Lepisosteus oculatus: one gene and its partners. The protein of the gene in region 2 purifies or fractionates together with the protein of the main gene of each other region. This does not show direct contact. Links are inferred from orthologs where the notes say so. Each region holds a gene or a part of one and is shown on either strand. Other genes may lie near its edges.

What was found.
Region 1: the proteins of crkl (region 2) and nedd9 purify together in Homo sapiens (affinity purification with western blotting; 4 studies listed by BioGRID). This does not show direct contact. The link is inferred for Lepisosteus oculatus from reciprocal best matches to the Homo sapiens genes CRKL and NEDD9.
Region 3: the proteins of crkl (region 2) and gab1 purify together in Homo sapiens (affinity purification with western blotting; 3 studies listed by BioGRID and IntAct, with this or other methods). This does not show direct contact. The link is inferred for Lepisosteus oculatus from reciprocal best matches to the Homo sapiens genes CRKL and GAB1.
Region 4: the proteins of crkl (region 2) and rapgef1b purify together in Homo sapiens (affinity purification with western blotting; 16 studies listed by BioGRID and IntAct, with this or other methods). This does not show direct contact. The link is inferred for Lepisosteus oculatus from reciprocal best matches to the Homo sapiens genes CRKL and RAPGEF1.

Annotation. Positions count from the first base shown.
Region 1 is NC_090705.1:17,612,080-17,619,729, forward strand, and holds the start of nedd9 (enhancer of filamentation 1), read left to right. Parts: upstream 1-4,632; 5' UTR 4,633-4,781; coding exon of another isoform or gene 4,782-4,799; intron 4,800-7,650. UniProt on the Homo sapiens protein: Scaffolding protein which plays a central coordinating role for tyrosine-kinase-based signaling related to cell adhesion. As a focal adhesion protein, plays a role in embryonic fibroblast migration.
Region 2 is NC_090717.1:9,392,655-9,400,309, forward strand, and holds the start of crkl (crk-like protein), read left to right. Parts: upstream 1-4,638; 5' UTR 4,639-5,563; coding exon 5,564-5,874; intron 5,875-7,033; coding exon 7,034-7,496; intron 7,497-7,655. UniProt on the Homo sapiens protein: May mediate the transduction of intracellular signals.
Region 3 is NC_090696.1:27,606,198-27,613,856, reverse strand, and holds the start of gab1 (GRB2-associated-binding protein 1), read left to right. Parts: upstream 1-4,657; 5' UTR 4,658-4,672; coding exon 4,673-4,786; intron 4,787-7,659. UniProt on the Homo sapiens protein: Adapter protein that plays a role in intracellular signaling cascades triggered by activated receptor-type kinases. Plays a role in FGFR1 signaling. Probably involved in signaling by the epidermal growth factor receptor (EGFR) and the insulin receptor (INSR).
Region 4 is NC_090719.1:7,538,662-7,545,679, reverse strand, and holds the start of rapgef1b (rap guanine nucleotide exchange factor 1b), read left to right. Parts: upstream 1-3,997; 5' UTR 3,998-4,249; coding exon 4,250-4,277; intron 4,278-7,018. UniProt on the Homo sapiens protein: Guanine nucleotide-releasing protein that binds to SH3 domain of CRK and GRB2/ASH. Transduces signals from CRK to activate RAS. Involved in cell branching and adhesion mediated by BCAR1-CRK-RAPGEF1 signaling and activation of RAP1.

The DNA of each region.
Region 1 (7,650 bases), on a different chromosome or scaffold from region 2:
ACATGGGAGTGACAGGATGAGTATAACTGGTAAGCAGGTCCCAAGGGCTTGAGTGGGAAATTAAGTGGAGCTGAAATAGTTGTTTGCTCAGATTGTTCAAAGGCTGCATTCTACAGTGAGGTGTAAATTTCACAGAACGTTTTCAGTTACATGTCTAAGCTCAGATTTCGAAGGAGTGGGAAGATGTCCAGTTCGAAGCTACTGTACACAGACACACATTTTTTAAACCGTCAGCTAACGTCTGTCAATCCTAAATTGTTGTTTTTTGTATTGCACAGCTATGCACAAAGTTAGTAAACATAAAATATTAATTTAAAAACAAATGTTACCAGTATTTCCTTACATTCTTAGACACTCGTGCAGTCAGTTTTTTTTAGTTGGTTTAACATATAAGATTATTTAGCCATTTCATTCCATATCCAAATGCTAAAATGCATAAAAACAAGGCATTTATTAAAAATGGCATTCATGCTACTTTAAAAAATGGTTTTGTCCATATCTTCATTTATACAGACTGAAATCTAAATCTGGAAATTCATACTCATTAAAGTACACAATCACAGCATCACTTCCGTATTGTGTTTAGGATTTGAGAATGAAGAGTCATTTCTTGAGGAACTTTGTGGATAGGATTTGACCTCTTGCGATTTCCACTGCTGAAAACTAAATGTTTGCCACGCTAGATGGATTCCATTGTTAAAAAGGGCTGAACTGGGATCACAACTTCCAGTTTTTCGGATCTGGTGTAAATCCACAACAACGAGCTTGGTTTTGTTGCTTAATAATAGTTCCTTTAAGAAAACATCTACATTAGAATTTATTATTTGGGTTATTCAATCCATACATTTGACCATGTTAGAATATACTGTACCCTATGCTTATCTCAGAGATTTGAGTGATTTTAAGTACTTGGAAACTTTAAATAAATTTCATATTATAAACATTTTTTAATTTAGTTGCGTATCCCTTTCCGGAAATAAATGCATGAAGTCCATTGCACTCACCAAACTCGTTATGCAACCTTTTGGGATGCTTTGCTGCAGTCAAGAGTTGCGTACTCTTTGAGTGTTCCAATTTTAACTTGTGCATGTAATATGTATCCACTTTTGGATTGAAATCTGGCAATTGACGTGACAGTCTAAAGCTTTCGATGTTTTTTCCTGATGAAAACCTTTATAATACTAAAGAAGTATTATACTCTTAGTTTGTAGTAGTTCAGGTGGGTAGCTGCATCAGCATGCGTAGGCTGCAAAGGAACAAGTACTGTAATACAGTAGGTTTATTCCATGCTGAAAAAAAGAAGAAAGAGAACACAACGTTTCGGCCGTGGAGCCTTTTTCAGGTGTGAGGCTTCAGGTGTGAGGCTTTATAATACTTCTTTAGTATTATAAAGGTTTTCATCAGGGAAAAACATCGAAAACTTTAGACTGTCACGTCAATTGCCAGATTTCAATCCAAAAGTGGATACATATTACAGTACATGCACAAGTTAAAATTGGAACACTCTTAGTTTGCATGTCTTTATACACGTATTGGCATGAAGAATTTTTCTACTAGGATTTTCACATTTAGATATGCTGTGAAAGCCATGGAAATCAAAATGTAAATGTTAACATAGTTCTGAGCATTATTGTTAAATGTTTTAGCATTGTGATGGTTTGTAAAGGTTAAAGTCTGGCTAACAATTTGACTAAACTCAGTAAATGGTATTTTTCATGCAGTAATACTTTAAACTGTTAATTACAGTGACAGCAAATAGTGCAGGTATTAACAGCTTTCACCTGAGCCTTGGATGAATGGTCTTAACGTTGATGCAGCTGTGATCAATTTCAACTGATAAATCCTTTTTTACTAGGATACCATGTCTTGCATCTGACTTTTTGTTTTCATATGTATTAAGAAGATATTCAGCACCATTTAGACAACTGAACTTTTCATGGCCTTGGGTTGTATGAATAGTAATTAGACCATACATCATTAAACAGTAAAAAAAAACATTTTGAGTGAAACAATTTTGTATCAGGAGCTGCTTTTACAGGGAACAGAAGGCTTTCAAGCATACCTGTCACAAAATGAAATTGATATCTTTGTTTTCTTTTTTTCTCTGTCTCTGTTCTCGGCAATGACAGTGGCTTTGAAAGTTGAGGTAGCTTGTATTGTGTGTAAGTAACCATTATGTTTTGATCTGACTCATGAAGTACACTCAACTCTTTTGAAATCTATGTCAGACTATGTCAGACTTGGTTCACTCTATGGGAAACTGTGTCACTTAAAAGGACACAGGACAGGGGGTGCAGCATTTTTAAAATTCCCTAAAATAACTCCCACCGTGAGTCAAAAACATTAAATTAACTGAAATTCATTTTGAAAAGGTCATTCATTCAAAGCTTTCATTATCATTATGTATTTAAGAGTCCACAGAACCAATTGGGAGAAGAGATCTACCAGACAACCACATAGTTATCATTCTACCAGAAAGTTTTGAAGTTTTTATAGAATTCTGTAAACATCATAAATGTTAGTTGAGAAAGTGAAAGTCCTGCTGTGTGTCTGATGAAAGTTTTCAGAACAAAACCTTTTCTTGTATAGTTTTGTTAAATGTAATTGCCAAATGAGCACACCCATGATGAGTAAACACATATTAATACAATGCTTATTAAATTCATCAATTATCTGACTCAATTTGAAACCTGAACCTATCCTTTCATCTTGTCATACTGACACCTTGGGAAACTGCAGCTCTAATGTGGAACTGTGGGGAAATGACCTCCAGCACATTGAGAAAGTATTGAGAAGAATGTCTCTTTTCACAGCTGGGAATTGAAGAAAGCATTGAAATAAGACTGAGGTACTGTATTGTTATCAAACTGTATGAGTTGATGAATGTGACTCAGTACATCTAGCTACGTACCATCACTTGCTGTTACTGACAACTCAGTTGGGATATACAATACGGGCAGTTTACCAGGTTGCCACAAGACCTAGCCTATAGTTTCCTGTTCCATCATTAGTTTCCTAATTAGCTCCTTTCTGAAGCTCAGCCTGTAATTGCATGGTATCCTGCATCGTAATCCCACCTATTCATCTGTAGGTGCTCTATAGTGTTTCTCAGGCTGGGTAACACAGCTGTGTAGAGTACAATGAGGAACAAATGCTCCACCACACCACCGCCGCAGAAAAGCCTTGAATAAACATACAGAATAATAAGCACCTGGTTAAGTGCACATTGTAAGCTTTGTGAGCCAACAGGAAAGTCCTTGGCTGTCGACAAAAGCACCATTTGTTAACCAGAAAGCCACGCAAGTCTGAAGTACCCATTGTATTCTACAACACGTACTGTAGGTTGGGTTCCTGGTATTTTAACATTCATTGTCTGTAAAAGGCTCTACCCATGGCAAATTACAAGGAGATTCAGAAACCCCAGTCTCTATTCTCTTCCCTCTCAACAAAGTGATGTCTTTACTTCAAAATCCTAAAAACATTTCCCCCACAAAATAATTCAATTTTCAAACTTTGCTCTTTAAAGCTTATGCCTAAACAATAAGCACTCACTATTGGGTACAGAAGTGTTAAAAATAAGCATAAAAATGGAATTAACAAGAAGTCAGTTGATAATTGTCTTCTAAAGCAAACAGTCACATGTATTTTGTGTTTTCTGTCTTGCTGAACATCTTTTCATTGTTCTTCTGTGCAGTGTACTGTATACAGCCTTTAACCTGTCACAGACAGAAAACTGAACTTAAATCGTAGTGTTAAAGCCATCTAAGATAATAAAGGAACCAGATGAATATGTCATATGCCAGCATATGTCTAACCCAGTCTTATTTTGTAAACAAATTGATATTCACATCTTTTTTAAATTGGTATCTGCTGGTAATAAACAAATATAACCAAAGTAAAAGCCACTGTATAACCCAGGCTTGTCAAATTGTCCTTGTAGCTAAAATAAATCATCCTTACACTTATATAGTGCTTTTCTGGACACTCCACTCAAAGTTCTTTACAGCAAAAGGGAACTCCCCTCCATAACCACCAATGTGCAGCACCCAATGGGATGATGTAACAGCAGCCAAAGTGCGTCAGTACGCTCACTATAATGAAGTAATGAAGCCAATTTAAATATGAGAATTAAGAGGTCATGACTGGTAAATCTGGCCAGAAAACCAGGGTTACACCCCAAGTCCTAGCCCTGGCTATTTGTGTATGATATATATGTGCATCATGGCAAAATTAATAGTTTGATACATCATCTCCTAACAGTTTGAAATGATCACATTGATATGTTTGGATATTTTCTGGTTATATTTTTTTAAGTGAGCCCCATATCACATGTCTTCAACTCAATATTGCTAATACGTGTACATGTGAATGCATTAAATGCTTATAGCCTGGCCGTCTTTTTCCTACTTTTTAACCTCATTTCTGTAGGTTTGTTACTCAGCATAAATAGGAGACATGTTCTAACAAAAAACAGGAAAAAATATCTAGAGCTTCAACAACAAACACCCCTCTTGCCAGAATGTTCAGAAAGTGTCTGTTATCAGATTATTTCCTGTTTTGCGGTCTTTCTGGGTGAGCAGTTTGCTTTCTTTTTGTAGTGACAGTTAAGGAGTAGCAGAAATGGACACAACATTGAACTACTTGTTCCAACTCTTTGCTGGTCTCTGCTAGCTCACAGGTATACAGCAACTAGTCAGAACTGCAAAGGCCACATGAAATATCTTTAATGGTTAATTGGGATCTGTGGAGAAAAACAATCTTCAAGGATGTGAGGGTATGGAATGCTAAAAGAGAAGGAAGTAAGTGCTTGTTAATGCTTGTTAATGCTTGTTAATGAGGATTCATTTGTCACAAGTACAAAAGAATAAATATAAAGCCAGCCAGTCTGTTCTGTATTGCTGTCCCACAGAACCAAACAGGACCGCTCTAGTATCAAATGAACTTGTCAAGGACTCTCAGTAGATCAACAGGGCATTTGATTATGCTATAAACATGAAGAACCATTAGGGATTTGCTATTATTGGGTAAACTGTAAGCAGGTAAAATCACATTTCTTTAACATAGCAGCATTCCCTGTCTGGAGAAACCCACTTGAGAGTCAGTCTAACATTTAGATGTTAGAATTCATACTGTAGGCGTGTGCAATGGTTTCATATTTACATTTTCACACTGAGTCTTACAGGCCTATGCTTCCTGACAATTCAGATTTTAAAAAGAGCAAACAATATTCATGGCATGGCTAAAGCAAGCTTTATCATGATTAAAAAAAAACTTTGTTTAATAATGTTTTCCTATTCTTTCCAGGATAGAAACTTTAAAAACCTCCTACTAAGTATGCAGTTCTTTAAATGTAACCCCAGTTACCTTAATGTGTGTTTCTCTTTTAGACAAAATCACATCTTAAAAAGCTGAGTAGGCATTGCATACAGCAAACTACAGTACAAAATATCTTACTACACATGGACCGCTACACACTGGAACATTCGTTCAGAACACATACAATTTCATCTCCATGGCCTTGGGGATCCATCACAAATTATAAATGCTACATGAAGGGTTTATAGAATATAGGTGAGGACTTTGTGTTTTGGTCTTAAGTTAATTTGCAGACACTTTTGTTATACGTGTACTGTACAGTATGTCCTCAACAGTTCACTCAGAAAAAATAGGGATTTCTTTTATTTCACAGGAAAAAAACTCTAACCTGAAGACAAACTGGAGATCCAGGAAAAATAAATGAGAGGAATAGGAAGATATAGATCTGACATTGTTAAAAAAGAGTGTGATAAACATAATAGTCACAACAACATACCTTTCTGTAGCCTTTTGGTGGATAATGCAAACAATTACTGAAATATTTCTTTCAAATCACAGTACAATGCCAGCTATTTCCAGCAAAGAGAAAGCCGAGACTCAGCAGACATTCTTGAAAGAAGCTCTGCCAAATGAAACAGATTCACAAAAGTAGCCTTTAAAACTTAATTATTGCATAGTCCATATGTTAAGAGGAAATATACAGAAGCCTTTGACAAGACATGTCTTAACACATTTTATTCGATTTGTCTGATCACTGAGGGGATTATGGAGAAATACAAAAGAAGTACAATAAGAACAGAACTTTAAGGCATGTAGGAAAGTATCAAATTGATATTAATCCTAAGGAGCCAATGATGAATCAATGAACTTTGATTGTGACATTCTGGATGAGCTTCTACAGCACTTTATACTGCCTACACGTGTATAAGTTACCATGAGTTGCTATGATTATGTTTCTGGACAATGAGAGTTCGAAATTGTTAAATGAGAAGCTTTGTTTCTTCTCACCTAAACTGTAAACGGTGTATTCCTAAGACTCAAAGTTGTTCTAATAGTAGAAAATATGACTGGGTGCGTTGATGAATTTTTGATTGTGTTTACACACTACCTTTGCACAGTGCTCTATACTGTACATTTACATAATAGTGTGTTTGCGGCAGTGTATACTGAAAAGGCAGAAATTAATTCCAGAGGTAATAAAAACTGTAGGTGAGAGGTAAAAGGAAAAGAAAAAATATTTACTGGGCATGGGTATTAGATTTCATTGTCCTTATTCACTGCTGGAAAGAACAGCCAGCAGTCTGAAGGGGGCCTCTGAGGCAATATTGTCTCACTAGATAAAGCTTTCCTCTAGGGGACAGGGATCACTGCGAGAGAAGCTGAAGACACTGCAGGATAAAACAGAAACAAAGAAATGGTTTATTAGTCAGTGGTTAAGCCCAATTAAACAATGTCATCTGACCCTTTTAAAACAAGCAGTGCAAGACTTGATGCACTTTTTAACAGCATTACATGTGCCAAGATAACCAGAAGAGGTTTTCTTTGGGACGAAAAGAAGGATGAGTTCAATACGATAGGTGCTTTGAAAATGAACCTCCCTTTAATCAAATTGCATTTGTCAACTTTGGCGTATTCTGGCAGGGTTCCATGACTGCAATACATGGAAGAAATCTAAGTGCTGGACTGTGTTGTGCACCATGACACTTTTCCCACCCAAAAATAAGTTGTAAGGTAGACAGCATTGCTAAAATGAAAATAAATATTTTTCAAACATGCAAAATATTGGGGCAGTTTTAGATACAGTAGGAATGAGTGCTATAAACATAAATACTCAAATACACAAGGCTATCAAAATGTACAATAATGACCTACTATGACAAATCTGGATTTAAACATCTTTTTTGAAAATCTGGTGATCCCGTCACTGCTAGGGTGCCTGATAATCGCTTGATCTACTGATAAGCACACAGATAGTAACACAAATAGAGAATGGTGCTTGCAGGAGCAATAGATTTACATAAAAGACAGTCAAGCAGTCAAGGATTTGCATATATTTAAACATGTTTTACATGTGATATTAAATAAAACCTTGCATTTGAACTTTGCATGTGCCAAAATCTTGTTTTTCTTTACACTTGGAATTGCCATTTATTATTTTAATTTCTATACTTGTCTCCTCCACGATAAAATCAGTTAGACAGGAGGAGTGATGCAGCTGTGTTTGGTCACTGTTGTACAGCAAATCAAGAAAAACCTACAGTATATACTGTAGTTGAAGCCTAGCCAGTGAAACTTGGGCCTCTAGAGTGCCATGTGTGGTTTCCACCCTTCTTC
Region 2 (7,655 bases):
TTGTGGATAATCTGACATTTCCAGTGTGTACTGTATGTGACTAATGACTCATTCTTACACGCATATCTTTAGATGAGCTGTGTACCTATAGTGTATTACAGAGGCAGATAAAGGCGGCTGCATGTTAAATGTTCACAGAAATAATAGTTAATTGCTTAAGTGTCTGAGTCATTAGTTGTTTAAACAAGATTGCTGACAACAACATGCAGCCGTCATCAGAGAATTCTTAAAATAGATTTTGTTTCACCAGGAAAGTCTGGGGATTGATTTTTAAACTGCCTGCTTCCTGTTACCAAACAGAATCTTCCCATACAGTAAAATTATGTAACCAGTTTCCTCTACCCAGCAGAATGCTTACGATGATACAATCTCAGTTTCTGGCAGCGGCAATGAACTGCACTGGTCAAATCAGATTCTGAATGCCAGAGCCAAATAGTAACTGTAAAGAGGATTATGCATTTGTGTGATAATTGGTTAGAACTGTCACAACAATGGGCTCTGCACCAAGAAGCTTTATGGGCTGTTAATGTTAGGGTTCAAGTCAAGAAGACATTCTGTACCTTTTTTCTTCCAGAATCACTTTATTCCCTGACTGCTTTACACTTATTGCTGCTTTATAGATTTTAGTGTAGCTGCAGTAGTCATTCCACTACAGAAGGGAGCGTCCCATTGTTAAGTGATATAAGAACAAATGATGCTGTCGGAGAGGTTTGACTAACTGTTGTGTATCCATGTTGTGTGCAAATGACAAATAAACTTATTTTAATATCCTTATACAATACCTGCTTATATAGTGGTTGTACCCTAGGTGATGAGGGGATCTAATCCTGTTATTTTGTATCATCTTAAAAAAACATGGTTGGGTCACTTGTGGGAGTCTGGAACAACCTTTCCTGTAGTTTCCACTTTTGTCCTCTGGCTAATGTTTCACTGTTTACTCCATGGAAGAATGACATCTGAAGATTTTCAAAACTCGAATCATGTTTCTTTGGTCAAGACGAAAAAGCACTTTTTAGCCTGCCAGAGTGGGACAGTACTTTGCCATTCATATGCTCTATCTGTATAAATTATGAATATTTTTTTATCAAAAAGGATTCTAACAAGTTATACAAAACCTGCTGCTTCCAAATCAATGTTGACTGCACTGTAGAATTAAATTTCCATTCAGATGACCCTCTGGTGTAGTTCTTATGGTTTTCATTACCTTTCATGTAGTCGGATTTAAGATTCATTGGTCTGTGATGCCTTGGTTTGATTTTGTCACTTTTTTCATGGATGAGTGCTGCATCCCATCTCTAGAGACTGCAGTGAGAGCTTTGTTAATGGACTATGAATAGCATCTCTTGTTTCCTTAAGTAGGAGTAGTAGAACACTGAAGATGTATCTTAATTGTTTCTAGTAGCTGTAACATGCCTGCATTTCTATGCTAATGCTGTTTAGTATGCGGTTTTGTCTCTTCTCATCCTGAGGTATGTTGTCTATTTCTTCCTTGGTGAAACCTGAGTGAAATATTAATTTATCAGTCATTTTGTCTTTAATTATCTAAGTGTTTCCCAATTTTATCCCTGAGACACTTCACCTTGAACTTCTCCTTTGCTATTGAAATACAGAAAAAAATGTAGGCATGAGGGAGTTCTGTCGTGCTCAGCGGGAAGAAGGAAGAAGTATTATGTTTATATGTGCGTGCTACATTTTTTAATTTTTATCTCCAGAGCCTCTCACCCACTTATCATGGATGGCATTAGCACAGATTTCCACAGGGAAACAATCTAGGTTACGGCCTACTTTTTTTTTTACAAATTCTGCCCCATGATCAGGTGAAACTCAAAACTAGTGTAATATATACTATATATAACTCCTCATACCTAACTTGCAAACTGCTAATTGTTAGGGGTAGAAAACTATTAAGGGTTTAATTAAGAATCTACAAGTCAAACTAAAAAAGAGTCCTACAGGTACTCATGTCACAAGGATCAACACGGCCAAGACCTGCATCATGAAAAAGTCTCATTTCAGTTTTGTGAAAAGGATTTAAGTGGAAAAACTGTCCCCATCCTCAATATTCTATTAAAAGTATAAAAAAAACTTTTTTTTTATTTCAGTGCTTGCAAATGATTCTTGAAACAGCAGATACACTCTATTGTATTCCCATTATTGACATTGACACATTATAATTCCACGGGAATTTAAAAATAATATATTGTTACAGAATTTTAAAGGTGTTTATTTCAGATTACAACTGTGTAATGAATCACACGTGAATTTGCAATTGTTCAATAAAGTGTTACTTATCTTTACAGGGGTGTTGGATAAACTTGGTTTAAAATAAGAGTGTAGCCACAAAAACCTCTCTTAATGATAGAAGGAGCACTGGTGATGGGTTTCTGTTTGTATAGGGATATAGCTTCTTTACAGGTCTTTAAAGCTACATATTTTAAAAATGTAAAACTTCACAGTATTTCTGCAGCTTCATTATTTTGTGTGATTCTTATAAAAGTGTTTTGTGTACTCTGATGTTTTATCATGTCATTTTACATTTAATATTTTTACTGCAAATACAAACATATATTTCAGTTTTCAAGATGTTTTATAAATGTTTTTAAATAAAATTAACTTATGTGATTAAAATCAGTTGTGTAGTTCAGTGCATTTCCACTATAGTGAATGAAAGCATGTATTTCAAATACTGTACATTTTGGAAAGAAAATCTGAGTTAATATAAGTAGGTACTTTAATATCTAAAAACCATATTAAAGTCTGAAGCAGATCAATACTCTGGCTTGACAAAAAGTGATGATCTGAAGACACTAATGTGAGAAGATTAGTACTGTATAAATTCACCCTCTTTTATTATATAAAGAGGCAGGCTTATTCTTTTCACCCTGGAGCATTAAAAGATTAAAATACATACAGAATCAATCCACGTTGTCATTTTAGAGCAAACACAGCCCTTCTGTTTATAGCTTGTCATGTTGCAACATCCTCTTTTATAATCGATGTTCATCTAAATTAAAAATATATCTTTCTTACTCAAACATTATGCTTTTAGAAAGATTGAAATGTAAGCTAATTTGTGTATTAATGCAAAAAGCATCTTTATATGTTACGCATGCAATGCGTGGCATATTATTGCTAAAGTACACTCTTCCAAAATTGTAAGTAATATTAAATTTCCATTTTTGCACATCGATAATTTGCACTCGTCCTCTCTCTCAGGGAGTTATGTGAGAAATTGGCACGCGTCCGCCAATACGAACCAGTGGGTGCAAAACCATTTATATTCGTCCAGACTGGGTCTCTGTGAAAAGCTAGGCCGCGTTCCAGTGGCTTTTTATGCAACCCGGACACTCAAAGCCTGTTTTTCCAGCCTCGTAGGAAAAGTGAATTCTTCCAACCCCTTCTTTGAATTCCCAGCACAGATGAGGAAATGGGGATCTCTGGCTTTAGGCCACAGTGTTATGCTGGAGCTCTCTCAACAAACAACTGACATTCTCTGTCAATCCCCTTCATCAGCGACGCACTTAGGAGGGGTTTCGGTATGTCTCCTGCATCCCAATGCCGAGGCACTCATTTCTGAACACAATTACACTGCAACTGTGGAGACCTGTGCTCTGGATAACCGTCCTGCCAATGTCTCCAAGGCAGGGAACAAAATCTCCACAAAAGCCATCTTCACAGAGTTCTTCACAAGAAATGAAATGTCTTACACGATTCAAATCTAATGTTTATAGAGCTCCAAACTGTGTGAGATGTTGGTAGTGGATGTTTTGCTTTTAAAAATACCTTTAGGATGTGGCAGATTTCTGCGGTCTGGCTGGCAGGTTTAAACAGGGAGTGGAAACCTCAAAGTCTGTCCCTATATGTATATGCTAAAGGAAAAAAATAATTATTTGCATTTGCATGTGTGTAGTGTGCTGGTCATTTCTGCTTGTATTTTCACAACCCCCAAAATATGAACGGTAAAGGCATTAAAGTGGACGTTTTTTTTCATGCTGTCGCTGTAAATGTACTGATGTACTGTATAAACTGCCGCCATAAAGCTGTCTTTGGCGTTAGCACTTATTTGAACAATTTTTAAGAGATGGTTATCACCAACGTGCATGCTCAATGGTGCGATTGCACAATGCCCGCAGATGAGCGCCAGGGGGTCGAGCAGTTCCCCGGAGGGGTGAGAAACCTACTACAGGCCAGCGGTGCAGCGTCGTACAGAACCGTTGCCTGCGCATTTCATAAATTCTGTCAAATCTAAGCGAGACGATGTGCGTTTACGTCTCAAGATACCGACATTGCGCCTTTTAATGTTCTGATTAAACGTAGGTGCCCCCTTACAAGACACGTCGTGGCCCGATTTAAGTGGTTTGGCTTGGCTGACTTTGGTCTACAAACTGCGAGACGATTTTTTTGGGGGGGTTGTTTTTATTTATTTTTTTCCGGCGAGGATGGTGCCTTTTTATAATGTCTGCTTTTGAAAGGACCCCGCTGTAGACCTAAAAAGCAGCAACAACAACAAACAAACACGGGAAAAAAAAAACAACAACCCGCGACCGATCACGACGGCTCCGCACGGGCGCTCGAGCCTGCCCCCCCTCTCTCCGCTTCCTCTTTGGTGCGCGAGGAGGCAGAAGCCGCGTCACCTGCGCGCGGGGTAGAGCTGGGAGCGCGCGGACCCGCCCTCCCCGCCGCCATTTCTGAGTCGGGCTGTGTGAGGCAGGCAGGCGGATTCCTGTATCAACAGGGTGAAGTGGGGGAGCCGCGAAAACGTACCTGAGTAAGGGCCTACCCGCGTTCGTCCGTTTTGTGTGGGGTTTTTTTTTTGTTTTAAAAAAAAATCCGAAAGCGTCGAGATCCGCTGCCGAGTGGGGGGGGGGATTGGTGACACCCGAGAGGCTGGAGACGGGCTGTTCTGCAGCACAATTCATTTTGCTTTTCGGGAGACGTGCGCGAAGGCCGCCATTTTCGTCAGCCTGCTTTTGGAAACTCTGTACCGGAGTCGAGAGAGAGAGAGACAGAGAGAGACCCCCCAGCCTTGTTGTTCCCCCACCCTCCCTCCGTCTCGGGAGCTGATTATTGCCGGCAAATCTGCGGGGTTGAGCCGGGGCCGTAGTCGTAACGCCGTTGAGCAAGATGGGGGACAGTTCGGTACAATAATATTTCCCGTTAGTTCAACGGACTGGCAGCGGCGGCTGAAGAACATTGTTTCGGCAGATGGTTGAGCGCTTCTTAAAGAGCTGCCAGAAAGCGGGCGCTCCTTCCTGCTGCTTGGGCCCTTTTCTAGGTCGTTGACATAGCGGGCGGTGGAAAAAGGCGGCATTATAATGTGTCCAAGTCGGCCTCGTAGCTAGAGCTCTCTTGTGAAACGTCAGGGAGGAAATCGGCGTTGCCGGTCGGGGCTGCCATCGTTTTAAAACTTCGTGCCGCGATCGGGGTGGGTGAAAACTCGCCCTTGAGCTCTCAACGAAACTAGGCGTTTCCAACCCACCCCCCCAAAAAAAAAAAACCGGACGTTTTTTATTGATTTTTTTTGTTCTTAATCATTTGGATCCCGTCTCGAGTCCGCCCCGCCATGTCCAACGCGCGGTTCGACCCCTCGGACCGGTCCAGTTGGTATTTCGGGCCGGTGTCGCGGCAGGAGGCGCAGAACAGACTGCAGGGGCAGAGGCACGGCATGTTCCTGGTGCGGGACTCCTCGACGTGCCCGGGGGACTACGTGCTGTCGGTGTCCGAGAACTCCAAGGTGTCCCACTACATCATCAACTCGCTGCCCAACAAGAAGTTCAAGATCGGCGACCAGGAGTTCGAGCACCTGCCGGCCCTGCTGGAGTTTTACAAAATCCATTACCTGGACACCACGACGCTGATCGAGCCGGCTCCGAGGTGGGTGCCATCGGGTTGGGGTCTGCGGCTGCAGCGAGGAGGAGGAGGAGGAGGGTGAACGCATTTGTGTGCGGGCTGTGAACTTCGATTTCCTGTTTTTCTTTTTATTATCTGTTGAGGGGGTTTAGTGTTGGTTTTTGTGTGTGTCTGTGTGTAAACCTAGTGCTTTGCCTGGAAGCCTTTCTGGTCAGTTCTTCCCCTTACTTGCTCTCGGGTGCTCAACTTCCGTTTTATTTTGAATCGAGAGGCGAGAAGGAACTATCGCCCTTTCAGGCTCGCTTGCTGGACGGGCTCGTTAATGTGGTCTTTGATCTTCTACCCCCCCCCCCCCCCCCCGCCAGAAATAAAAGAAATAAGATTGCATTGTTTGGGGGATATGCTGAAGATGGACCAAGAATAAAACTACTGTTCGCTCACTAGAATAGTGTGATATTGGGTTGAACGCGAGCTCTCAAATTTAGTGAGAAGTGCTTGGTTTGCTTGAGGGGGTTTAGGTTTTGTCGGAAACATTGGGGGAACTTTTAGCTTGTATATCTGTAAATAAGGAAAGGATACCAGGAAATCGGCGAAGCTGGTGTTGTGACAGCAACTAGTATTACATGTTGCAGACAGAAACCCCATGAGATATATTACTTTGTGGGCTCCTCTTGTTTCTCTTACCTGTTACTCTGTAGTTCGAAGTCAGTCTTATTTCAAATAACCTGTTAGAGGCAGTGCAGAACATTATGAAGAGTCCTTAGGTGACATGACCAGTTGGGGTTTCATTTTCAAATTGTCTGCTCAATTTGAAAATGAGCACTTTGGGGCTTTATTTTGAGACTTTTAACTTTGTTTTCTTAGCTTTTATGCACTTTAGCAATTAAACAAGCATAGATCTGTTTTAAGAAATAATAAATGATTGGTCAAGACCAGGTGGAAATTGTGCCAGAACACCAGGGTTAACACCCCTGCTCTTCAAGGAATGCCCTGGGGTTTTTAATCCCCTTGGTTTGTATTAAACAAAGCCGCAGGAATTATTTCTAGAGCAGTTTTCTACCATTTTGTAAAATCTTTGTTCCGATGGTACCATTGAAGAGACGAAACTGTTAATTGAGTTGCTTTGTGTTCCCGACGGTTGTTTTTGGGTTGAAGTGGGTCATGTGTGCGTTGCTCTTTTCAGATACCCAAATCCGTCTGTTGGGACCAGTCCCGCGCCCGTGGGACAGCCCGAGGAGAATCTGGAGTATGTTCGGACTCTGTATGACTTCACCGGGAGCGATGCCGAGGACTTGCCCTTCAAGAAGGGGGAGATCTTGGTTATCTTGGAGAAACCCGAGGAGCAGTGGTGGAGCGCCAGGAACAAGGAGGGACGAGTGGGCATGATCCCTGTGCCTTACGTAGAGAAGCTGGTTAGACCATCGCCACATCAGCACCAGTTCCATGGCAACAGGAATTCAAACAGCTATGGCATCCCTGAGCCTGCCCACGCCTACGCCCAGCCTCAGACACCCTCCCCTCTCCCCCCTACCACCCCAGGCGCAGTCATCAACCCCTTGCCCTCCACACAGAATGGACCTGTAATGGCTAAAGCCATCCAGAAACGTGTGCCTTGTGCTTATGACAAGACTGCCCTGGCACTAGAGGTAGGATCTGCATTTCTCTGTTCTTAATGATGTACCCCGTTCTTAATGAACTTATTTTCACCCATAACAATTTGACATTGCTCTTGCTGCTAATTGCACCACTTTTCATGAATCTTTGCCTTTTCTGCTTTGTTTTGATGTATAACATCTATGTCATGT
Region 3 (7,659 bases), on a different chromosome or scaffold from region 2:
ATTTGATTAAAGCTGACGACTTGGAATAAATTGGCATTTTTCCTTGGTCATAGAAAGGTGGCACTTGAAAGGTGATGTATCAGTTGAAGATATTTGCATAACGTCTTGTGAATCTCTGGCATTAGCAATTAAGCTTGTGAGCAGGTGAAAGAGTAAATCTTAAGTCTACTGAGCTAAGTCTGTATCTGGGCAAAAGTGATTAGAAAATGGCTGAGTCCTACTGATAAGATTTAATACGATTAATGAGTCTGAGATTTTTTGGCTCAGAAGCATATTCAAAAAGCAAGGTTTTTCTTTATGGGTTAATAGTTGGATGTTTGTTTACAGTATTTAAGTAATGTGACAAGTCAGTATATGAAATGGACATACTTGAATCCAGTTATTGAGAGTGTCTCTTCCTCTCATCGGTGAACTGCTCATTGAAATGATAACATTTTGGGGGGTAAAAAACCAAGAAGCATCATTATTAGTAAGGTTTCATGATTTTAAGAGGTGTGAAGATGAGACTTGGCTTCACAGCACAACTGCAGTGAGTGTAACTTCATGGCTGAATTAGGGCTTAAGGGGTAAAATCTGTAATTGGTATTGAATGGGTCACAGTGTACATTATCGGTCAATTTAACTTTTCTTTCACTGTTTAGTATCCTAGATGGCAGGAAAGTGAGTGGCTACCAAAACAGGGCAGAGAAGAAAACTGTGCATATACTGGTAAAATTTTAATTTGAGTCTCAAAGTATGTAGAGGTAATGTGAGGACAGCACTATGGATGTGTCAGTGTTGTTGGCAAGTTTGGGTTGGTAATTACAGGTCTGTCTGACTCTTAAACTGTAAATCATTTGCTTAATGCAGTGTATAAAGAAAATATAAATAACAAGCCAGGAAACTCAGTTTATCTCCTGCTTCAGCAGAATATTTTAGAAATTCAGAGAATGTTTTTATCTGCTGTGGACATTTCCAAGTATTCTGGATTTTCTTGCTTTTTATAGCTTCTAATGAGCAATAAAACAAAAAACTTGAATGTGTCTTACTTTAGGTATTAAAGCAGGTATAATAGTTCTATTGCTTTTTGGACCCTTCTGTTGTATATTGTGAATGCTTATAACAATAAGAACCCTTTTCATCTTTTTTGGGGGGGGTTCTTTATTTTGTATTGGAAATCACAAACGGGTGAAATTTTTCAAACCCTGCTTTGTGTCGTGATGATGATGATGGAAATCCGATCTGCTTTCTGTTCAGTGTTGTAACCTCCCCAGCACCTCTTTCTGGGGCTGTGAGCACTGATATATCAGAGTGAACGGATTAGCCTCTTTAATATGGATACTTTAGCCCGTCAGGGGAGCCAGGATAATGATCCAGTAGTGTGGTTGAGCCTCTTTGTCAAACCGCAGGCTTATAGAGTAATAACATTTCATCTGCAGCAGGAGAAGCCCCAATATTTAGTGTTCAGCTAAAAGCTCTGCTGTTTCCTTTTAGTCCACCACTGTGGGAATGGAGGAGGACTATGAAAGTAGCAAATACAAAAGCTAAGCATAGTATTGTGCATTACAGGTGTTAAGACCATTTTCTGAGATCCAGCTCCTTTTTTTGAAAGTGTGCTCTGACTCCTCAGTGAAGTGAATGCAGGTGAGATGGTTTGTAAAAAAGGGAAAGTGTTGTTCCTCTAGATCAGATGATCTCCATGATCAGGCAGAGTAGATCCTTAGATCATGTGGAGCTTCAGAGACATGCTTGGCACTTTGTTCTCAAATGCAAAACATTCAGTTGTTATTCTTATAATTATTGTCGTTGAATGGTGGCATTTGAATTGCTTAAGATTTTGTGTTTAAGCATTTACAATAAGCAATAAGAAAAGGAAAGGCTGTTCTCCAAGGTTAGAACTGGATGTGTTGCTGCACACAAATGAGTGCTCTCCAGCCTAGTGGAAGGCCCTTAAACTCACAGCGTGCTCTTTCAGAAACAAAACAGGATGTCACAAGCAGCGTGTCAGAGGGCCTGCACATGTTTCTAAATGGGTCCAGCTATTTTTAATGTGGTGTGGCAACAACTTTCCAGCCCACATGGCTGCAGAGAGCTATAAAATGAAGTCATGGTTCTGGAGCTGCAGCTATTTGACTTGTAAGAATTAATGTGGTGTCCCTGGACAGAAACACACCTGACTGCAGCTGGTGGACTCTGAAAGTAGGCCCGTCTCTTAGAAAATAAAAGACACCTGAAACCTGTTTCTCAAAATGTAGGGTTACACAGATTGTAACTGAAAAATATCAAGACTTGCAGTAGCTTATGCATACATGCACTGTCAACTAGAGAAAGAAAGTACCGTGACAGAATCATCTTGGCAAGCAGCAATATCAACTATACAATTAAATAAGCCAAGAGTGAATTTGTCTCCAAGCTGTCTTAACTGCAGGTCAGGACAGGTCTATCTGGTTATTTTATGAGCTAAAAATACAATTTAAAAGCAATACAGTATGACTTTCCATTGTCTGGATCTACTGCTAAGTGTTTGATTCTATTAAACAAATTCACAACAAAGTAAAGCTGCCTCCATCAGGGAAGCAACTGTTGTGTCACAGAAGAGTGTGTTCTTGTGTTACGCCCTGTCAGGCTTGTAGTCATTAAAACGCAGTATTTAATTGTGAGCAGTTGCAGTCGGTGTCAGCACCTGTGGTCCTTTTGCGATAGGTTCCATTTTAAGCAGTGCTGGCACAGAAGTTGGTGACTGGAGCTTGCTTATACAGAGTATAATTACTCTGTACATTTAGAAGCTTGAAAGTATTCTGAGGACCTACTGAGAGCTCTAACATTTACTTCCAGCTCTCAAGCGTGTTCTGGTTTTAACCCTTTATGGTGTAGAAGGTTTGTGAACTCTGAATCTGGGCTTCGGGCCTGCTGGAAGTGCAAAGTCATGTAAAGACGGGACTGTAGAATCGAGGTGAGCACTGAACAGGGTTTATCTCCCCAAGAGCCAGATGTGAATCATACGCCACTAAAAACACTCTGCAAGGTTTTCCTCTACATGGATGAACAAACTGCATTTTTTCGTTTCTCGGCACACACGTGGTTTGTTTTCATTGAATTCTTGGGTTATTGTTTGTGACTGAATCATTATTGTATGAATGCATTTCACTTGTTGTACTAGATTATGTGTATATATATATGTGTATCCCTGAATTTTATGCATCCAATCAACCAATTAACACGCGTTTTATAATTAACAGTTTATTTTGACAATCTAAATAACATTCTGAATATTCATCATGGTACGTTTGATGTGCAGAGAAAATTGAGAACATTTTGCATATTGCAGGAAACATTCCTGCAATATGCAAGCGATTCTTTATTTCTGTCTAAAATCAGTTTTAAGACATAAAGGGTTAACTGGGCAAAGAAAAAAAATATGTATAGTCAATGTGCTAGTTCTTTTTCCATTAAATTTTAATTTCCAAATTAAAAGCCTGGGGTGCCTTCAGCCCCAGACTTGATATTGTGAAGGTTAGGTTTGGTAGTCGGCAGTAAATTACTGTCCCTTGTGAAGTGCTGTTTGTGGGCTCCAACCTGACAGGTACGTGTAGCTCAATTTAGCCTTGCAGTTAATTGCTTGGCATGAGAGTCATTTCTGTGCCAGCCTGCAGAGACGTGCAAGCTGTTCGGGGAAACTCTGCCAGCCTGGCAGCCAACCCCAGCAGCCAGATGGAGCTTCAGTTTAAGGCTAAATTCAGCCAGAGACCCTGAAACTCTGGGGCTCCACAATCTTGCTCCAGGAGCATCTTTCGTCTTCAAGGGGTTTTCTCAGCATCCTGAGTCAGGGTTGCTGTGAGCTGATATTGGAAAATGGAGCTGAGCTGAGCCTCCTCTTCCAGTTCCTGGCTTCTGTGAAAACAGGAACAGCCTGAACCCTGTTAAGATGCTGAGATCATCTTAGATCACTTGTCTTGTGATGCATCTGAGACTGTCAGATGTATGAAATTGTTTTTTATATTTATCCCAATAAACTTTGATTTTATCACAGCATTGTTCTGAGGCTTTGCTACATAATGCGTGAATTACAATTAAATGATACAGCACCATGCAGAGGGGTAGTAGACTTATTGCACATATCACAAGTGACGTTGGGAGTCTTTAAGTAGTGTATTCTTCTGCTTGTGCCTCTCTCCCTAAAAACAACTGCAGAACCCATGAGGGGATTATGACTCTGATGTGCACCTGAGTTTAATTTCATTTAGATGCGCCAGCTGAAAGCTTAAACATGAGAATCCAGATTTTTGGCAGAGAAAGTTAAAACTAGCCAGTCATGTGGCCAGAATCATTCAAAGAGTTTGGTCCATGCAGTGGAGTTAGAGGGCCTTAGTTACAAGTCTTTAAACCCTGTTGTTGTTGTCGGGGCTGCCACAGAAGCATCGGGGTCCTCTCCTCATGTCCAGACATGGGTGTCACAGGCACAAGGCTCAAGGCACAAGGCCCTGCAGGGGTGGGGATGCACTGGTCATTACTGCCTCGTTGGGCTTTTTGCTTTCAGTGCTGGAGATATTTTAGTATCCCAGCAGTGCGATCCATATTTGTGTGCCTGCTCTTTGTTGAAGCGTGATGGAGGGGACAGTTTCTGTTATTTTCAGTCCATTGTGCCTACTTCCTGTGGGTCAGGGGTTACTGGAGCAGGGTGTTGTAGACGGCGATGGAAAGCCGACAGGAAAGTAGCCAGACCGTACAGCGCACAGCAAGCTCCGGAGCCAGACGCAGGCTCCAGCGCGCGTTATCGATCCTCCCTGCAAGCAAACGGCAAAACAAGGTAAAAAAAACTGCCGCACTCTGCATTTTCCCAATTCCTGGGCTGTTTGGCAGGGTTTTCCTTTCCTCCTCTCACTCCTTCACTTCGCCAGTGTTTGAAATTGTTTTCTGGAGTTGTAGAATTTCCTGAAGGGACCTGAGTTTCTCTCGTGGAGAAGCAAAGCACTGTTTAGCACTGTTTTTGCTCAAAAGCTGTTCAGCGTGTTGAAAGTGTACGTTTACACCATGCGGTGATATTTCTGTGACTTGAAAGGTTTTTGGTGTAGCAATGAGCCACAGTGAGGCAGGAAATCTATCGAGAATGTGCCGATCTGCTGTCCTGCAATCTGAACATTCCCTGCAAGCAGCCATTATAGAAACACTGTAGAGAAGAGGCCTCTGGTGTAATGCCCAGTTAATTTCTATGAGACTATACATTTAAATTTATTTGTCGATCATTTCTATATTTTTGTTAAGTGATTTGTCTTGTGAAACTGCTTTTTTATATATATGGTATTTTTTGTCTTTAATTTTTTGTTCTGGAAGATTACTGTGTACAGCTGTTAACTAGTGGGGTTTGAGCAAGGCTACTACTAACTGACATGCGCAGCCAGCCCTTTTCTCTCATAATGCTGATGAAATGTATATAGTATATGGTAGAGTGCAGTAGAGCTTCAGTATAAATGAGCATCTGTATAAAATTAAAAGAATCCAGCAAAACGGACTTGCTGGAAAGATTTTCAAGATGTCATCTATAATTCCTGCAACAGTACTCCAGTAAAACACTGCGAAGGTGTAGAGGTAAAAACATAGAACGCAAAGTATTTTTTGATATTCTTTGAAATACAGCTATTAAAATGTTAACATGCTTTGTATTAATAAATAAAACAGTGCAATGATGTACTGTAAAGGTGATGAATTACGCAATACATGTGATATTTAAAGAACCCAAACCTTTGCACAATGCTTTACAAATTATGTGTAAAACATGTTTGTGGGTGAATGTCTTAATACATTCAGTATATACACGCACTGTATATTATACTTCTTTTTGATGTATAAAAATTGCAAAAAGTAATGTAATAAATAATAATTTTAGTGATCGGAATTATTAAGATGATGCTTCTGGATGCGAGACCTTTTTTCTTTCCATACAGACAGTGTAGCTGGAAAATAACTGGTTTATTATGTTGTGGAGGTGGGCTTGACCAGTTCATCTTTACACTTGTTCCATAGAATCTGCTGAGTGCGTTCTAGCAGCTGACAGCCCCCTTAATAAACAGAATCATCATGCCTAGGGCCAAGGTGGTGTATAAGTTGTCTTAGAGAAGCAAGGCTAGACTGGGATGACTACCGAGCAATTCATAAGAACATTTCTTTTTTCCATTTTTAAAGTGCGACAAGACGTATTTAGCAAAGAAGAAGATGAATTTCCAGCTGTTGTGCAACATGTAATAATTTAATAGTCAGGTAGTTGTAACAGTAGTAGTAGTCAGCTCAAAGTACTTGGCTTCTTTGAAGAAATAGCTGTGTAAGCCTGGATCAGTTAGCACCACAAAATCAAGTGACCTAGATGGGCTGAAGGGCCTCCTCTTGTTTGTAAATGTTCTTATGTGTCATGACTGCAGGAACGAGTCTGTCTGATACTCGATAAAGGCTGTGTCCCGACACCAGCTGGAAAATGATTGAAAGGTGGAATGAAATGGCTACAGCAGTTAAAATAGGTCCAGTCCAGCTATATTACAAGCCATTAGAAACGGTAATCCTAGGTAAACTGGGTCTGCACACCCTTCGGTTTGCTTGCAATATATCGCTGCCTTCTTATCAGCTGTGACCAGGGAGTACAGGTCTCCATTTAAAATCTGCTGTAAGGCTGTTGCTATGCTCTCTCTCCATTAGCAATGTTGGACTGCATTTAGAGGCCTTTTTGAAATTGTCCTGTTCTGAAAAACACAACCTCTGTGTTTACGGTGCTGCAGCCAAAAGTTCTGTGCTGAAGTGTCGTTTGTTTTCTCATGCAGGACTGAGTTTTGCTTTGTCAGGGTTTCTTCCTCTTGTATTTGTAAAAGGGAGAGACCTTTACCATCTACTGTTCAGTAACAAAAGTGGGTTAACATTTTCAAACGGGTTACAGAGATCTATATTTGTATTTGGCTCTAAGAGACCTCTCTCGTAAAAGCAAAGACCTTGAAAGTGTTTAATAACCTGCATAGCCTGTGGAGCAGTCCACAGGTTTTGATTTGAGCTGGTTTGACATCAAAAGTCATCAGATATTTTATGTCCTCCTAGGGCTCTCTCTGCAGCAGAGCTTGTAAGAAGTTATTTGCCGTTTCTTTCTTGTTTGGTTAAGGGTCAGGTTTCAGATCTAAAGTTAGAAATGACAGCCTTCAGAACCAACTGATGTGACAATGGATGGAAAACAGGAAATTTTGTGCCTAGTGTGTGTGTTAGGAACACAGATGACCAGGATGATAAAATCCCGAGAAGTGGAAACTTCCACTGAGTTTGTTTTTTCCTTGTTTTTTTTTTTTTGCTGGGATTTAAAAAAAGACACTGTTTCCTGGAAAACAGAATCTGTGGCCATTTGCTGCGTGTTAGGAGCCCCACTACAGGCAACACTTGTGGCAGTGCTAGGTAACGGAGAAAGTCTGTCAGTCACTGAGGTGCTAGTTCATGCCCACAGCTGAAGGCAAGCTAGGTCTTTGAGTTAATCTTTCAACCCTCATGGTTAATACTTCATCCTTTGTGCGAGTCTACCTCAAGAAGGATTGATGAGAATTAAAGTTAACATGACTTAACGTTTGACTGCTGCTAAAAAAATAACCAAAAAGGTTTTCCTATATTAGAGCCTGAGATTCCCATGGGTCAGTCATTCAGGACTATTGATCTCTAAAT
Region 4 (7,018 bases), on a different chromosome or scaffold from region 2:
ATGGCTGCCGTCACATCATCCAGGTGGATGCTGCACATTGGTGGTGGTGGAGGGGAGTCCCTATTACCTGTAAAGTGCTTTGAGTGGAGTGTTCAGAAAAGCGCTATATAAGTGTAAGCAATTATTATCATTATCCCCTCCACTCAAGGTGTACCCTAATTCCATGAAGGAGAATCATCTGGTTTCAGTTCTACCACTAGATGTCAGTGCATCATAGTATAATGGCTTGTAGTCTTGCACTTTTTGTGTTGTGGTTGCTATTATTATTATTCCGTGTTAAAAATGCCCATGACATAGCCCTACATGTTACAACTGCCTTTTATGGATGTGTCACATATACATGACTAATATTATTATTATTATTATTATTATTATTATTATTATTATTATTATTATTATTACAACAACCAGAATCCATGCCAGTAAAATATCAAACATCTTTTGTTTAATTTAATTGATATTCGTAAAATGGACGTTTTTGGTAGCCATAATAAATGTAGCAAGTTTAATACCGGGGAAAAATTAAATGAAGTCTTATATGTTTGAAAAAGTTCCTTTGGTGTACCTTGTGGGCCCTTGCAGATTCCTTTGTCTGCATTTGTGACCCGACAGGTTAACACACATGTCAAATTTTATCGGAGGAGTTTCTCTCTTGTTCCCTCTCTGTGTACTTTTAAAGATGGCCTTAGGCCACACATTCTGTAAGGCTAAAAAACCTGTTCGGTTGTGAACAGTGCTTCCTCTTTTGTTCAGATAGAGCAAAGCGTGTGTCGGCGTGGGTGGGGCTCTGCCTTGAAGGAACTGAAGTGTGTATTTACCTTTGATTGTATTTATTCAAAAACACAGCTGACAATGAGGAAAGCGGGACTGGAATTTTATGTTAAACAGTGCCGTATAGAAGACGAACAGCAACCGTCAAAAAGAAGCCCAAACTTACATCATGGACTCCACATGCGTCCTTCATGACGCTGTTTTGAAATAGACTGTTCATGTAAAAAACATCACGCACAGTACTGCTTTTCCCTCAGGTACAGTACTGCATTGCCTCTAAACAAGGGGCGGTTCAGAGCTTGTGTGCATCAAAACAGACACTGCTGAGTACTCACAGTAAATGTTAAGTTAAATATGAGGCCCTTACCTACTTGTTTCCATGTTCCAATTACAATACTATTACCTTTATTTCAGTTTTAGCACTGTTACACCTCCAACTGTATTTATCCACCTCATAGATAAAGCATGTAAAGAATTGTGCGGGTGTCATGTCATATATAATGTCTTGTCATGGATACTGCTAATGGGAAGTTTGTCATTTCAAGGAAGTTTCTGAATTTTTAAGTCATTTCATTTATCAGGAAATTAAATTGTTTTTCTTTTTTCTGATAAAAACAATGAAATCCAACTATCTATGCAGTTACCAGGCTGATTTGTGAAGAAGCAGTGTATGACTTACGGGTAAAGATACAAATTCAAGAGGCAGCAAAGCGAAAATCAATAAAATGTCTGAAGTGGGATTATGACAGTGTATTGTTTTTAGAGGACAGTGTTATATGTATTACATCAACTTGGCAGAACAGAACCTTTAGAAAACACATTAAAAAACATTCTTGTAGAATTATTAAATGGAAATGTACTGGGTCAAACAACTTATTGTAAAGCATGTGAGAGACTAAAATGAAGAGAATAAATCATGTTGCATTATGAGTTACTCAGAATTTTTTTATTACCGTTACTTCAATGCCAGATTTAAAATAATGCAGCTGGTTGATAGGTACCGCTACACTTTGTAGATTCTTATTGAATTGTGCAACTGAGCCACTGAACAACACCCATATTCTGTGGAAGTTCTTACATAATTGTATATAACCACAGGCATCATTTTAGATAAGGAGTACAATAAGGAGTACAATACCAGTGTCAATAAAGTTGGCTATGGTTAATCTAAATACAGGAAAGGGTGCATTTAACTTTTAATTTCTGTGCTTTCCACTGCTGTCTGCTTATGTACCAATCATAAATAGAATTGCAGATATACATGTACAAAAACCGCTTTAAAATACGTTTCTACAACAGCGGAGCTATCACTCGCTGGGCTGAATGAGTTTTAATTTAAATCAGAGAGTGTTGTTGACATATGGTTGAACGAGAGATTTCTAGTTTAGTTGGTAGCTGTTCCATTAAAAAGGCCTTCCTATGATCCCATGACTTAATATTGTTCATTCAGGGGGCAGTAGGCTCTAAGCCAGTGTGTGCTATATTGTTCTAACTATCCAGATTCGGTTGTCACTATGTATTAGTTTCTCTCTGTCTCAGGTCACACAATTGGCTCACTCATTCCTACTCTAGTCTGTGCAATGTGATCATCTCATAAGGTCAGTTTTATGATGCATTCAGGCAGCCTTCTTTATCTAGCTGTAACTAATGTCTGAAAAAGAGGTTCACGCCCAATAATTTAAATAGGAAACAAGCTATTCACAAAGCTAGCCTGATTAATTTTATTTTTTAATTGAAGTGCTCACTGTGTCAATTTAACTGAAAATTCTGTCTTAATTGAAAAATGTTATCTAATGCAGGAGGTTGTTTGAAAGCTGTCACTGCAGTTGACCCTCACCAAGGTAAGCAAAATGAAAATGGATGGATGTGAGGCGCTTATTGTATTTTCACATTGCAGAAGACACAATCACATTGTCTATGTCTAGAGGTCAAATTCAATATTGTGCCTGCTGTTTTAACTTGCATTTTCACAGCACTATGCCACGTGTAGTTCTGTGTGGTGGAATATAAATTAGTGCTCATGTGCTCATGTCCTGGGATCAGTTGTGGACTGGGGCACCTTCTGTGTGACATTTGCACATTTTTCTTGTGTTCACATGGGTTGACATGGTTTTCTCTGGGTGGGCTGGTTTCTTCTAAAAAAAACAAGGGTTTCCTAGCTAGATTAATAGGTTTCTGTGCATCCTTTGCTGGACAGGCATCCTGTCCAACATGTAGCCTCGCCTTTAACCCTGTGCTTTCGAAATAGGTGCTGGATTGCTGTGCCCAGCTTTCTGATAGTGGATGGGGTGAAAGGAGTGTAAACTGATACTGCAGGAATGTGACAGTACTCTCAAACCATAATAAACTATTTCTAAAGCTGTTTTTTAAATGGATATTTCTATAAATGGAGCATTCCAGAAGGATTCATTCATTTATAGACCTACATCTATCCAGTTGCTATCGCTTTCATCCAATTCAGGGTCACGGGAAATTGGAGCCTGTTCTGGCAAGCTGTAGGCACAAGGCAGGATACATCCTGGATGGGACACCAGTCCATTGTAAGGCACACACAGACACCCGGGGCCAATTTTCCCAGAAGCCAATTAATCTACAAGTATGTCTTTGGGCAGGGGGATGAAACTGGAGCATGAGGAGGAAACCCAGACGGACACAAAGAAAAACATACACACTCCACTAATGTAACATCCCTGGCAAGACTACCCACTGCACAACTGTGTCACCCTGTGGGCCAACATAGAAAAACATAATGTTATTTGAATACAACAACAAAAAAGTGGTAGGCTTTGGAGTTGTTGGTCCAAGCTGGTTGAACTCTTTGATACAGGGACCATGGGTTTGAGCTCAGGTTACTGAGTTTGTGGAGCCAAAATATGAAAAGAAGCAGCTGGCTATTCAAATTTTAATTCACTATTCAAATAAAAAGGCATTGAGACAGCTTTTGTTTATGGACATTTTCATATTTTGCATTTTCCCCTAAATGATTCCTATCTTATGGGATGAGTGGAAAAACCAAGTTTGTCTCTACTGACAGAGCTGTAAGAAACACAAACTTATACGTAATTTAAAATTAAGGCGATCCATTCATTTATTCTCTTATTTAAAACCTGTGAATACACAGGAAAAATATGGCCCCAGGGTACCAAAAACTTGATTTGAGCAGCCCAACTAAAATGTGAAGGAGCTTAATGCACGTTTCATTCCAACCTTGAGAGGGCAGAAGAGCTTCTATCCTCCACACAACGGAGTACTACTACTGCTAGGCAGGACTGTGCTGGCCTCATTGAGCACTGGAGGCTTGTGAGAGATTAAGGATTTTGAATAACTGATCTGTGTGTGGAGAAAGCTGTCCTGAATATACCAAAACCGCCACATCCACTTGATTTATCTAAGGATGCGGGAGTAAGGAGAACCGAAAAAGGGGGAAGCAGCCGATCGTGGGATTTTCTTCTCCGCCGAGTCTGACACTATCTTTGAAATGTCGGGGAAAATAGAAAGCAAGCAAGGTAAGGGAAAGCACGCTTTCGCGGATATGTGGCTGTGATAGTCGGTAAGGGGGTGATAGGACAGTCCGAGGAGTTGTCCTGGGAGCGTAGGCCCCAAGTGTATAAGACTTTTTATTTAACATTCCCGCTAATGATCGGAATGTAGATTGCTGGGGTGGTGTTGCATTCTTCTCAGGATAGCCGCTGCTCTGAATGAAATATTCAGATATAGCGATTATTTCGTTTTGCTGCCGTTTTATACTTTCATTCCCCATTCTGCGAAGGGACTTAGCATATCTGGATAGAACTGTTGCTCTAGCTGTCTGGCATATACTGTAGGTATAGCCGATAGATTACTTCCTAAATGCGATTTTTGTAATATTTTGCTTTGCTGTAATAAAAAAATCTGCAGAAGATCTGCTGCTTTCGCTAGAGGTTGCCAAAACTAACGTTCATCTTTAATCAATGCAAACAATATATGGATTATTATTTGGTACTGCAGTGTGTGCAGCGTCTGTATTCATTTTTACACAGACGGGTGAGCGTGCAACTGAACTAATTAACCGCTCTTAAGATCTGGTATCTTGCTAAGGGATGTGCCATGGTTGTATATATACTGCCAAGGTGATCTGCGCCTGGTGCATACATGTTAACTTGGCGAGCAATGAAAACAACTTTTTTAATTACAAATGTTAGATATACTTAGATTTATTTTTTACGCAACGAAATATACTATTTTATTGGCTGTGTAGCACAACAGGACTGATGCAGTTTTGGGGGTCTCCAATATACTTTTAACGATGCCATAAACCCCATAACCAGTTGTTTTAAACGAGTGAGACTTGTATTTTACCACACACGTTAAGCATATGCTTAAGTACAGGACTCTGTTACGGTAGCTTCTGTTACGGTTCACCGTGGCATTTCTTTTAAATAAAGACCCCGGTCTCTGATGCAGAAGCTCTCATTTAAGATAATTTAAGATGGCTTTTGTGTTTTATTTCCCAGGTATTTATTTCCCATGTAATACAATAACTTGTGTCTGCCTAAATTTGACTGAAAATTGAAAGAAAACCTTCGACTACGATTATTTTTCCTTTGCTGAGCAAGCAAGCATCAGTGTGATTTATGAATGAACATGCATACCAAAAACAATTCCTCCGTTTTCTGATGAAGAAAGTGCTGTTCTGTTAGTTTACTTGATGTGACGCCTGGGATATTTCATTGTCAGTTCATTTCATTATATATTAGTATAGGCTACCTGATTATTGTGGTTAGGATGACAGCACACTTGGAGAAGTAAACATTGCTGGTATATAGTTCTGCTGTCGCTTTCGACACTCAGCAATAACAAGTCAAAGCAAGTTGATTATTTTCTAGGCCCTTTTGTTATTGATATTGAAACTGAAATCTTTATACAGGAATTAGTATGAGTCAAAATGTGATGCTGCCTCTTGCTCAGTGAGTTAGCCAGGTGTCAACCTTGCCTGCAGCAAATTTATTGTTTCTTTGTATCAAAATAAATCTGTATGAAAACCAGGACGCCGTTAAATTGCACATTAAAATTGCCTGCCACTTGTCTCACTTGACAAAAGGTGTAGAATGGTGGTGTTCTGGAGTTATAGTCAATATATTCTAGCTTGCAGCGAGAGAGGCTGTAGTCGGTGAGTCAATATATCAGGCCTTGAAAGAGGAAGGCCTGAGACACAGCACAGCAAGCAGAAGGTATTGCTGCTGTTGAATAGGAAATCCGAACCCCTCAGACTTGCTCGGGATGGTCTTAAGTATCTGCCAGCCACAGGCACACAGTGGTTTCTCAGCTGTTTCTGCTGTCCTCTGCCCCTGGAGCCTCTGGGTGTGGTGTGTTGCTTGCCCTTGAATTAACTCACCCAGTTGGACTGATTTCTGGCTGTTGAACAGCGCCGGCTAGGCAGAGGTGAGATTAGTCTTTGCTGATGGTTGAAAGGAGCTGCCTCAGGCTCCTGCTGCATACAGATGAGTGCCCTGCTGTGCTGCATGTGCTGCAGGTTAAAGTTTGGGTGGCAGGGTAGCTGGAGCAATCAACAGGCCTTGACAGGCTGCCAGTGCATTGCAGGGCACACACAGACACAGACGTGCTTACTCTCACACCAGGGCCATTTTTTTCCCACAGGGCAATTGACCTAACCAGTATGCCTTTGGCCTCTGGGAGGAAGCCCATGTGATCATGGGGAGGACATACAGACTCCATGCAGATAACACCCCAGGTCTAGAATTGACCTCACGGCCCCAGTGCTGCAAGGCAGCAATGCCAGCACTGTGCTATCGTGTGGCCGCTCGTTTCGGTTCTGTTTCCCTAATGAAAAATGCATTAAACCAATTTTGCTGTGAAGCATAATTCAAGTAAAGAGATATTTAACCTGTCCCTGGCTTCTTTTATTTCAGTTGATGTCTCAGTTCTTCCAGTAAGTCAGAACTTGAAATTCAGAATTGAGAAAACTTTTCTTCTTTCAGTTTTTTTTTTCTCTCCAGCTGGTAGTGTAACTGTATGACATGTTGGTGACACTTGATGTTTCTGTTCTGTGAATTGCACAGTATTTTCGCCTCAATGCTAGCTAATGTCAGAAAACGCTTGGTCTGATATACCTGCACAGTTATGTCTGTTTTTAATATGTGAAGAGGGTAATTTTTAAGAAGCCCCCTAGCATGTAGCCCTAGGTTATTCCCTTCAGTCAGTTTAAACAGATTTTTATCATGCACCTAATAGTGAAGAGGTTTGAGAA